3 linked regions of the Macaca mulatta genome follow. The protein of the gene in region 1 interacts with the protein of each later gene in a pairwise test. Links are inferred from orthologs where the notes say so. Each region holds a gene or a part of one and is shown in the gene's direction. Other genes may lie near its edges. The genes, in order: CDK4, CCND2 and CDKN2B.

The links.
Region 2: the proteins of CDK4 (region 1) and CCND2 interact in binary tests that used the Homo sapiens proteins (3 or more experiments, as listed by UniProt). The link is inferred for Macaca mulatta from reciprocal best matches to the Homo sapiens genes CDK4 and CCND2.
Region 3: the proteins of CDK4 (region 1) and CDKN2B interact in binary tests that used the Homo sapiens proteins (3 or more experiments, as listed by UniProt). The link is inferred for Macaca mulatta from reciprocal best matches to the Homo sapiens genes CDK4 and CDKN2B.

What each region holds. Positions count from the first base shown.
Region 1 is NC_133416.1:64,929,497-64,933,243, reverse strand, and holds the start of CDK4 (cyclin-dependent kinase 4), read left to right. Parts: upstream 1-1,415; 5' UTR 1,416-1,571; intron 1,572-2,008; 5' UTR 2,009-2,027; coding exon 2,028-2,245; intron 2,246-2,400; coding exon 2,401-2,536; intron 2,537-2,655; coding exon 2,656-2,823; intron 2,824-2,980; coding exon 2,981-3,090; intron 3,091-3,747.
Region 2 is NC_133416.1:5,167,559-5,171,305, forward strand, and holds the start of CCND2 (G1/S-specific cyclin-D2), read left to right. Parts: upstream 1-1,088; 5' UTR 1,089-1,367; coding exon 1,368-1,562; intron 1,563-3,327; coding exon 3,328-3,543; intron 3,544-3,747. UniProt on the Homo sapiens protein: Regulatory component of the cyclin D2-CDK4 (DC) complex that phosphorylates and inhibits members of the retinoblastoma (RB) protein family including RB1 and regulates the cell-cycle during G(1)/S transition.
Region 3 is NC_133420.1:77,206,375-77,210,121, forward strand, and holds the start of CDKN2B (cyclin-dependent kinase 4 inhibitor B), read left to right. Parts: upstream 1-1,285; 5' UTR 1,286-1,566; coding exon 1,567-1,722; intron 1,723-3,747. UniProt on the Homo sapiens protein: Interacts strongly with CDK4 and CDK6. Potent inhibitor. Potential effector of TGF-beta induced cell cycle arrest.

The sequences.
Region 1 (3,747 bases):
TGGTTAAGGAAAACAAGTTAGAGTGGAAGGAGTGGCAAATAGGGTAATAAAATGGCTTTAGATTTTACACAAATTCTCACAAATGAGACACTAACCGCTTTCCTCCTTTACTCCCATACCCTCAAAGGGCTAGGACATGAAGACCTTGGAGCCAATAAAACAAAGAAAGTAGGAGAAATCTACCTACGTCTACCTCGGTGTCTGTGGGCAGAGGCCATTTGGGAAAAAGTGTGTTCTGGACACCGCTAAGTGCTAAGAAAGAGGCACTAGGGAAAAAGAGGGAAGCACAATGACTCCAAATGAGCAGTCACAAGGTTTACAGAAGGAGACATGTCATTTTCATTCATTGTGGTGGTCTGGAGGGTGCAGGGGGTGTGGTGGTAACTTTCTTGCACATGTACACTCCTGTATCCATCTTATATATTACATGTAATAAATAATATATACATACATATATACATAGAAGTATATATACACATATAAAAATATCACATAATCATAGAACCGTCCTACTGGGGAAAAAAAAAACTTAAAGGTCAAGTATTCCTGTCTCCTGCTCATTAATAACTTCTCTGCCAGATGGCCTCAGGTCTTTGCATTAACACTCCCAGGGAGATTTGGAAGTTGAGAAAAGAGGGGGCATTACCTTGTCACTGAACCTGTTGGATTACTGTATTAATCTGCCTTCTGTCCGTCCTTTAATCGTAGTTTTGCCCTCAAATGGGCATTGTTTACTCCCTATTTTAGAAGACCCCATTGTTGGCTACATCTTTCTAGATAGTCGTACCACTACTTTAAAGGGCCAGTGACAGACACCAGAAACAAAACAAAATAAAAACCCACATACACACTGGAAGCAAGCACTCAGTAAAATGTTGTAGAATTAATGAATGAATCAATGACACAAATGAGAGTATGTTTTATCATGGTGGAGCGAAAAGGTGACAGCATCACCTCTGGTACCCCAACTCCCATTCCCTCCCCAATGTAGACAGGCTGAAAGACCGGTAGTGAGACTGGAGTTCAGCCTTCAGACCGGTAGTGAGACAATCCTTCAGCCGGGAGTTGGGCTCTGGGTGGCCTAGGTTGCCATGGCACCGCCTCGGGCTCCACCCTCTCTTGTCCCCTTACCGCGCCCCCCCGCGGCGGGGGTTGTGGCAGCCAGTCATGTGCCCGCCGCGTAACCACACCTCTGCTCCTCAGAGCAATGTCAAGCGGTCACGTGTGATAGCAACAGATCACGTGGCTACCATCGCCCCTCCGCCCCCTTACACTCTTCGCCCTCCTCCCCGTCAAAGCGGCTCCTGGCCACCCCTCCGCGCATGGGTGGCAGTCACGTGCCCAGAACGTCCGGCGTTCGCCCCGCCCTCCCAGTTTCCGCGCGCCTCTTTGGCAGCTGGTCACATGGTGAGGGTGGGGGTGAGGGGGCCTCTCTAGCTTGCGGCCTGTGTCTATGGTCGGGCCCTCTGCGTCCAGCTGCCCCGGACCGAGCTTGGGTGTATGGGGCCGTAGGAACCAGCTCCGGGGCCCCGATAACGGGCCGCCCCCGCAGCACCCCGGCCTGGCGTGAGGTAAGTGCAGTCCCTTCCCGGGAATGAGAACCAGTGCCCGCCCCCCTCACAGTTTTCCACGCGTTCGTTTCTCGAGCTGGTTATGGAGGGGTCGCTCAAGGGCGGGAAGTGGGGCCTTTGTGGTCATGGGAAAGTATAATTTTAGGGACTGAGGTGTAGGATCTTTGATGCAAGGCATGTGTCATGTGTGATCTTTGTGCAGGGCGCGATTGTCCCAAAGGAAAATGCGTTTTTTATTGCAGGGCCTCACGTGGCTGGAGGGGTTGGTATTGAGTCATTGTGTTATCTCTGGGGCCGGCCCCAAGGAAGGCTGCGAGCGGGGGATGGGATGCTAGTGTTGCTCTTTGTGCTTTTTTTTGGGAGTCCTTTTGTTGCTGCAGGCTCATACCATGCTAATTCTGTAAGGGACTTTTGGTGATAGGAGTCTGTGATTGTAGGGTCGCCCTTGATCTGAGAATGGCTACCTCTCGATATGAGCCAGTGGCTGAAATTGGTGTCGGTGCCTATGGGACAGTGTACAAGGCCCGTGATCCCCACAGTGGCCACTTTGTGGCCCTCAAGAGTGTGAGAGTCCCCAATGGAGGAGGAGCTGGAGGAGGCCTTCCCATCAGCACAGTTCGGGAGGTGGCCTTACTGAGGCGACTGGAGGCTTTTGAACATCCCAATGTAGTCCGGTGAGAAGGTGGTGACGAGGGGAGTGGGGAGTAAAGGGAAAAGACAGCCTATAGGTGGGGTGTGGTGATCTGTAGAGAAGTGGGGACCCTGAGGAAATAATGAGAGGCCATGTTGGGTTAAAGGGGATTGAAAAGTGAGCATTTACTCTGGCCAGGCTGATGGACGTCTGTGCCACATCCCGAACTGACCGGGAGATCAAGGTAACCCTGGTGTTTGAGCATGTAGACCAAGACCTAAGGACGTATCTGGACAAAGCACCCCCACCAGGCTTGCCAGCCGAGACCATCAAGGTGAGTGGGGTTGGTAGGCATTGAGAGGTGGATTGGGACCTTTGTAGTAAAACCTCCTGGGATTTCAGGTATGGTGTGCCTAGTTTCCAGTGCATCTGTACCTCCCCCTTCTAAACTAGGATTTGATGCGCCAGTTTCTAAGAGGCCTAGATTTCCTTCATGCAAATTGCATCGTTCACCGAGATCTGAAGCCAGAGAACATTCTGGTGACAAGTGGTGGAACAGTCAAGCTGGCTGACTTTGGCCTGGCCAGAATCTACAGCTACCAGATGGCACTTACACCCGTGGTCAGTAGAAAGATGGTACCAAAATGGGTTCTGGTTGGGAGTAGGAGAGTGATTGCCTGTAGCAATTGAGAAGTCATGTGCTTCGTGTGTTCAGTCAAGCAAGTTGTGTTTTGTGGTAACCCATGGAGTCCCCATCCATTCTTCCTATTCTCTTTAGGTTGTTACACTCTGGTACCGAGCTCCCGAAGTTCTTCTGCAGTCCACATATGCAACACCTGTGGACATGTGGAGTGTTGGCTGTATCTTTGCAGAGATGTTTCGTCGAAAGTATGGGACCCACATACCCTGGACCACCTTGAATTCCCCAAATTGCTTGTTCATAAACCACGTCCACACCCTGCCCATTCTTTCTTTTTCTCTTTTTTTTTTTTTTTTTTTTTTTTTTGAGACCAGGGCTTGCTTTGTTGCTCAGGCTGGATTGCAATGGCATGATCACAGCTCACTGCAGTGTCAACCTCCTGGGCTCAAGTGATCCTCCCATCTCAGCCTCCCAAGTAGCTGACACTCCATGCCCAGCTAGTTTTTTAATATTTCTGTAGAGAGGGGGGGTCTCAGTATATTGCCCAGGCTGGTCTTGAACTCTTGTACTCAAGCAGTCCTCCCACCGCTATCTCCCAAAGTGCTGGGATTACAAGCGTGAACTACTGGACCTGGCCCCATTCTTTTACTTGCATACTACTGACTACTTTGCCCATAGCAGAAAGCTCTGAAATGCTCTAGAATTAGGAACTTCATATCCCTTTATTCTCTTTTATTTATTTATTTATTTTTGCAATAAGGTTTCACTCTGTCACCCAGGCTGGAGTGCAATGGCCCAATTACAGCTCACTGTAGCCTCTATCTCCTGGGCTCAAGCAATTCTCCCATCTCAGCCTCCTGAGTAGCAGAAACTATAGGTGCATGCCACCATGACTGGCTTTTTTT
Region 2 (3,747 bases), about 60 Mb from region 1:
CCTGGCGAGTGAGGCGCGCAACCGGAGGGGTCGGCGAGGATGCGGACGAAGGACCGAGGGTGGAGGCCTCATGCCTCCGGGGAAAGGAAGGGGTGGTGGTGTTTGCGCAGGGGGAGCGAGGGGGAGCCAGACCTAATCCCTCACTCGCCCCCTCCCCCTCCCGGGCCATTTCCTAGAAAGCTGTATCGGTGTGGCCACGCTCAGCGCAGACACCTCGGGCGGCTTGTCAGCAGATACAGGGGCGAGGAAGCGGGTTTTTCCTGCGTGGCCGCTGGCCGCGGAGAAACCGCTGGGAGCCCTGCCCCCGGCCTGCGGCGGCCCTAGGCGCTGCACCGCGTCGCCCCACGGCGCCCCAAGGGCCCCCAGAAACACTATGGTTTCTGCTCGAGGATCACATTCTATCCCTCCAGAGAAGCATCCCCCTTCCTTCCTCACACGCACCCCTCCTTCTTCTTTTTCCTCTGCCCACAGTCTGCAGGGGGGCAGAAGGGACGTTGTTCTGGTCCCTTTAATCGGGGCTTTTGGAACAGCTTCGAAGTTATCAGGAACACAAACTTCAGGGACATGACCTTTATCTCTGAGTATGCGAGGTTGCTATTTTCTAAAATCACCCCCTCCCTTATTTTTCACTTAAGGGAACTATTTCCAAATTGTCCGAGGTCACCCCATCTTCAAACAATCTACCCTACGTTCCTGGATCTTAAATCCAAGGGCAGAAGTATTAGGATCCGTTTTGAAGAAGCCAAAGTTGGAGGGTCGTATTTTGGCGTGCTACACCTACAGAATGAGTGAAATTAAGAGGGCAGAAATAGGAATCGGTAGTTTTTTGTGGGTTGCCCTGTCCGGGGCCCCTGGCATGCAGGGCTGGATGGAGGGAGAGGGGTGGGGGGGCGGGGGACTGCGTTTGAAGTTAGGTCGGGCCAGCTGCTGTTCTCCTTAATAACGAGAGGGGAAAAGGAGGGAGGGAGGGAGAGATTGAAAGGAGGAGGGGAGGACCGGGAGGGGAGGGAAGGGGAGGAGGAACCAGAGCGGGGAGCGCGGGGAGAGGGAGGAGAGCTAACTGCCCAGCCAGCTTGCGTCACCGCCTCAGAGCGGAGAAGAGCGAGCTGGGGAGAGCGAGACCAGTTTGAAGGGGAGGACCGGTGCGAGTGGGGCAGCCCGGAGGCTCTGCTCGCCCACCACCCGATCCTCGCCTCTCTTCCGCTCCACCTTCTCTCTCTGCTCTCACCTCTCCCCCGAAAACCCCCTATTTAGCCAAAGGAAGGAGGTAAGGGGAACCCTTTCCCCTCCCCTTCCAAAAAACAAAAAGAGAAAAACACTTTTCCAGACCGGAGAAAGCAGGGGAGAGAGGGGTCGCCGGGCTGGCCATGGAGCTGCTGTGCTGCGAGGTGGACCCGGTCCGCAGGGCCGTGCGTGACCGCAACCTGCTCCAAGACGACCGCGTCCTGCAGAACCTGCTCACCATCGAGGAGCGCTACCTTCCGCAGTGCTCCTACTTCAAGTGCGTGCAGAAGGACATCCAACCCTACATGCGCAGGATGGTGGCCACCTGGATGCTGGAGGTAGGTCGGCGGGCGGCGCTCGCTAGGAGCCAGGACCCCTCCCGGATTCTCGGGTCCCCGGCCGGAGCCCTAAACCTGGGAGAGGTCAATCCCCGCGCCGACCTCTCGGCTCCTGTGCGGGAGGTCACCGCGCGCCCTTTGGCGAGACGCGTGGCTTCTTTTCTGTTCCTCTCCAGATAAACTGGGGAGGGAGAGGGGGGAGGAAAATCTGGGAGAAGCGAGGCTGCCCTGGGCGGGGGTGGGGGAGCATCCCGCGCGCGTGTGTCTGCATGTGGCTGCCTCTTCTTCCCACCCCCCTCGCGACCTGTCTTTTGCGAAGCCGCCGCGGCTGCTGGCGCTGCGGTCAGGAAGGGAGTCGGGGCCTGAAATCGGGACCCCAAGTAGAAAGGCAGCCCCCCAAAAGGCCAGAGCAAATTCGTCTTGGCCTCAGGTCCCCGCATGTGGTCGCGACTCCGCGCTGGCACTTCAGGGGGGAGGTGGAGGGAGGAGGGAGAAGGAGAGAAACGGGGAATTCAGGAGCCCCGGAAGTCCCATTGAAGAAACGTGTGTTTCGGGGGAACCCAAAAGAACCACTTCTTGCCCCTCACTCCAAGTCTTTGCCCAGTGAGCCGTGTGCCCACGTATGCACAGCTCTGGACCTGCCGTGGTTTCGCCATGTTGCTTTGCAAACTCCCTTGGAAAGGCTGGGAAACGTCGCCCGCTTACCCTCGCACCCCATTATCCCGGCCACCCCACTTTTAATCGTGCCCTCTCCCCCACCCCCCACCTCACGAAGGTTACTTACAGTTTGGTTTTCCAGCTTCCTCGGTGCGGAGATTTGGGTGGGGTAGGAAGGGGGGGGAGGGGGTGTGTGTAGGGGGGATATCGGGTCACCCCTAAAAGAGAGGTTGGAGCCCCCCGTGCCTCTTTCCAGGGCTCCCTGCTCCCGTCTTTCCCCTAGCTCGTCACCACGTTCCCTAGTTTCTGTCCTTGTGGGCCGCAGCCGGACACTCCCGCCGCGGCGCTCACCCCTTCAAGTTTCCTCCCGGGATCCAAAGCCCCAGGGGTCGGAATACAGACCTTTCTGGCACCCGAAACCTCCCTTTCGGGAAGCCTGGCTCCTCTTTGGGGTTTTCACGCCAAAAGGGCTTTTCTAGGATATTTCCTCGATTTTTAATTATTTTTTGAAACCGTCCCCCCCCGCTCCGACTCCAGCTGCCGAGGCTGCGGCGCTCTTCCTCCTCTCCTCCCTCCCCCTCTCTTCCCCACCTCTCCCCACCCGCCCCCCCAATAGCGGCCCCTGGGCCGCAGGGACCCCCCCAGACATTTTTTCCAATTGTCGGGAATGATAGAGGAGGATCTGGGGATCCGGATGAGACCAAGAAGTGGACCCCCGGAGCCTCCAGAATATTTTTATTGATTTTTTGAAAAGATGACGAAATCCAAAAAAGAGTGAGTGAGTTAGAGTGCGCGAAGGAGTAGCCAAAGGGAGCGTCGCGGAGCTGCCGCGGCTGCTGCGCACTTCCCCGACTCCCCGTTTTGGAGCTGTAGTTCACCCCCTTTTATAGGCTCTCTGGAATACCAAAGCACCGATGGGCTATTCTGATTCACCCCAGTTTCCTCATCTTTGTTCTTTATTCTTATCACCCATTTTACTCCCCTCCCCCTCCCCACAAAAAATTAAATTTTTTTGTTCCCATAGATTATGCTTTTTCATTCTTTTTCTCTTTTGCTGATGCTGTGCTCTCCACCCCCGCCCCCCAACCCTCTCCCACTCCCATTATAGGTCTGTGAGGAACAGAAGTGCGAAGAAGAGGTCTTCCCTCTGGCCATGAATTACCTGGACCGTTTCTTGGCTGGGGTCCCGACTCCAAAGTCCCATCTGCAACTCCTGGGTGCTGTCTGCATGTTCCTGGCCTCCAAACTCAAAGAGACCAGCCCGCTGACTGCGGAGAAGCTGTGCATTTACACCGACAACTCCATCAAGCCTCAGGAGCTGCTGGTAATGACCGGCCCCTTCTTCCCTTCCTTTCTGCGATTCCCGCTTTCCCCTGGCCAACAATATGCCTTCTTCTCACCACTTCCAGAGCGGATTCTTGGGATCCAAAATGACCCCACCAATAGAATTTACACACTGACGGGCAATAACTCATTTAATAGGAAACCACAGTCTATATTTTTTGTGTTCCTACTATGTGTCAGGCTG
Region 3 (3,747 bases), on another chromosome or scaffold:
TCTCATTTTGCAATAAGCAAGCAATTGCCCTCCTGTTAAGACTTTTTCTTCCTCAGCACTCCGAACCAAAATGATTCTGTAAATAAAAATTGTTCACTTTTAGGAGAGGTCCACTTATGTAGTTCCTCACCAAAGTTTTTAGGCAACAAATCCATAACTTGTGGTTCTCTTCCTATCCAATGTAGCATCCGCTGAAATGTTTTAAATATTTAAAGTAATAAATGTTGATTCAAACTCACCCAGGAAGATTAGAAAGAAAATAAAAGCACTTGGCATTTAAATCTTCAGAAGAGAATTTAATGACAGGTTCAGCCTGTTTAATGACAAGCCCAGCACCACACCCCTCTCTTATGTTTCATTATTACTGCATAAATTTCCTTTATTACTCATGATAAATAAAAATAAAATACTTGACAAAGTGGGTTTAAATAGGTAAGAGTGCAAAGATTTACTGTGCAAATATGATGAAACTGGGATCTCAGATTCTTAAAGCACAATTTTTTTTTGTCTTGTGTGCTAGGTTGCCACTCTCAATCTCGAACTAGTTTTCTCTCTCTCTCTCTCTCTCTCTCTCTCTCTTTTAAGGGTTGTATCCATAATGCAAACATGGAAAGAATTAAAAAGCACATGCAAAACATGATTCTCGGGATTTTTCTCTATTTTTATGGTTGACAAATTCAAATAGAAAGACACATCCAAGAGAAAACCGCTAAGGTTGACACAAGATATGAAACTTGTGAAGTTCAAGTACTGCCTAGGGATGAATTTAACTTGTATGACAGGTGCAGAGCTGTCGCTCTCAGACATCTTAAGAAAGACAGAGTTATTTTCAATGCCTTTCTCTCGGCCACAAGGGAGCCACTAACGTCTCCACAGTGAAACCAACTGGCATAAGGCTGAAGGAACAGAAATCCTCTGCTCCGCCTACTGGGGATTAGTTGCTGAGGGTAGTGGGTCAACATTCCCAAAATATTAGCCTTGGCTTTACCGGACATCCAGCGAGCAGTCCAGCCGGCATTCCTGGCGGCTCCCTGGCCCAGTCTCTGGCGCATGCGTCTCAGCACCTTTGGGCAGGCTTCCCCTCCCTCGTGACGCGTCGGCCGGGGCCTGGCCTCCCGGCGAGCACAGCGGACAGGGGGCGGAGCCTAAGGGGGTGGGGAGAGGCCGGCCCCTTGGCCCAGCTGAAAACGGAATTCTTTGCCGGCTGGCTCCCCACTCTGCCAGAGCGAGGCGGGGTAGTGAGGACTCCGCGACGCGTCCGCACCCTGCGGCCAGAGCCGCTTTGAGCTCAGCTGCGGCCGCGCTAGGCGCTTTTCCCCAGAAGCAATCCAGGAGCGCCCGCTAGTTCTTGAGCGCCAGGAAAAGCCCGGAGCTAACTACCGGCGGCTCGACCATTGCACGGGGCCCCAAGCCGCAGAAGGACGGCGGGAGGGTAATGAAGCTGAGCCCAGCTCTTCTAGGAAGGAGAGAGTGCGCCGGAGCAGCGTGGGAAAGAAGGGAGGAGTGTCGTTAAGTTTACGGCCAACGGTGGATTATCCGGGCCTCTGCGCGTCTGGGGACTGCGGAATGCGCGAGGAGAACAAGGGCATGCCCAGTGGAGGCGGCAGCGATGAGGGCCTGACCAGCGCCGCGGCGCGGGGACTAGTGGAGAAGGTGCGACAGCTCCTGGAAGCCGGCGCGGATCCCAACGGAGTCAACCGCTTCGGGAGGCGCGCGATCCAGGTAGCTGGGGCCCCAGGGCCTCGCCGGCAGGGGGCGCGCGAACGCGGGGCGCGGCCTCGGCGGGTCGGGGCTGGAATCAAGATCGCCGATGTAGATTTGTATAGCAGTCTCCCTTGGCCGGAGGTGTGCAGCCCAGGCGTAAAACAAGCTTTTATCCAGCAAAAATTCTAAAGAGAGACATTGAAAAATCCACTGTTTAAGCTTTTCTAGTGGTTTTTGTTCTGCCATCTCATCATCAGAGATGCAAGGAATAGATTGAATTGGGGAGAAAAGGCGAAAAGGAAAGGTTATTTAGGGAGGACGATTATCTTGTCTGTTTGCTTTCAACGATAAAGATAAGTAAACTATAAGTTACACATTCTGGATTGGATTTAAGGAATTCTACAAAATCATAGTACATGGAAAAAAATCAGTGTAAACTTTTAAGCTACTATATGAAATCTGTTGTATTGTTTTCTCATGGAGGCTAATTGAATTCAAAGGAATGAGACCGGAATCCTCAGCCACAGCACTTAGTTCCTTTTATGTTAGCAGTGTCTTATGAGTGATGCATAAGAGAAAAAATATATAGTTCTATAGGTTTCTCATTCTTTAATTATCATACTCAGTGCCCAGATTACAAAAATATTCCTGCAGCAACTGTTAGGTCCTTTTTGAATGGCAAAGGATCTTCATAAATAATGCATCCTTATCTTCATCGTTAAAATACACTTATTCAATGTTTACGAATCCTGCTTTAATTAGTACTGATATTTTTAATTTATTTTACAATCTAGGACAATGCTTTTGTACTTTACTGTTGGCTATTGGCCATATTCAGTATTCACCTCACTATCACCCTCCAAAACTAAGCTAATATTAAGGAATCTTGTTAATAGTGTAGATTTTAAAGAAGTGTTCATTTCTTTTGAATTCTTAGAATAGTGGTATAACAAATAAGGGATTTTTAAAGGAGCAAAACTATTGTAAAGTGCTTCTTAAAAACTTAAAATTCTATTAATAATTATAAAACAAGTTATATATGTAATTCACCATTTTCTGAAATACTAAGAACAGCTATTTTCCCCTCTTTTTTCTATGTAAACTATCCTTACATCACTAGTAGATATAACTTATGGTTTTCAAGAGATGAAATGAACATTTCTAATATTAATGAAACAAGCTGACAAAACATGAGAAGTATACTGCCTTTCAATTAAATGGTATATTTTAAAGTACATAAACCCATAACAAATAACTCAATTTTAGACATTTGTTACCAAAAATTGTCTTATAATTAACTTAAAATATGACAGCAAATGTTTTCATAATGTTCATGTTCACAAACGGCTGCTACAGGATTACTCCTGCAAAACATCATTTTTTTCTAAGTTATGCATCATCCTGATTGCTAACATCCAAGCTCTATTTATTTATTTATTTATTTATTTATTTATTTGAGACGAGGCCTCACTTTGTCAGCCAGGCTGGAGTGCACTGGTGTGATCTCAGCTCACTGCAACCTCTGCTTTCAGGGTGCAAGTGATTCTCCTGCCTCAGCCTCCTGAGTTGCTGGGACTTCAGGCACGCCCCACCATGCCCATCTTATTTATTTATTTATTTATTGTAGTACAGACGGGATTTCACCATATTGGCCAGGCTGGTCTCGAACTCCTGACCTCAGGTGATCTGCCCACTTTGGCCTCCCAAAGTGCTGGAATTACAAGCATAAGCCACTGTGCCTGGCCCAAGCTCTTTTTATACAGCAAAATATTTACTGTTTAACGTTTTTAAATCTTAGCTATTATAAAATCCTGTAGTATATATAGTTAGTTTTATGTTACATTAAAAATGTTATACTCTAAAATAAAAATGATGAACTGTTTATTAAGGAAAAATCATTTATTCTTGTAATTTTATAAGATTTTGCATGATTTAATTTACTTTTCCCTTCTAATCTCCAACTTTGGCTCAAATTATCACAGTACAATCCAGTTATGAGCACAGACACATGACAAACAAAAGCCTTCCACACAGGATTTGCTA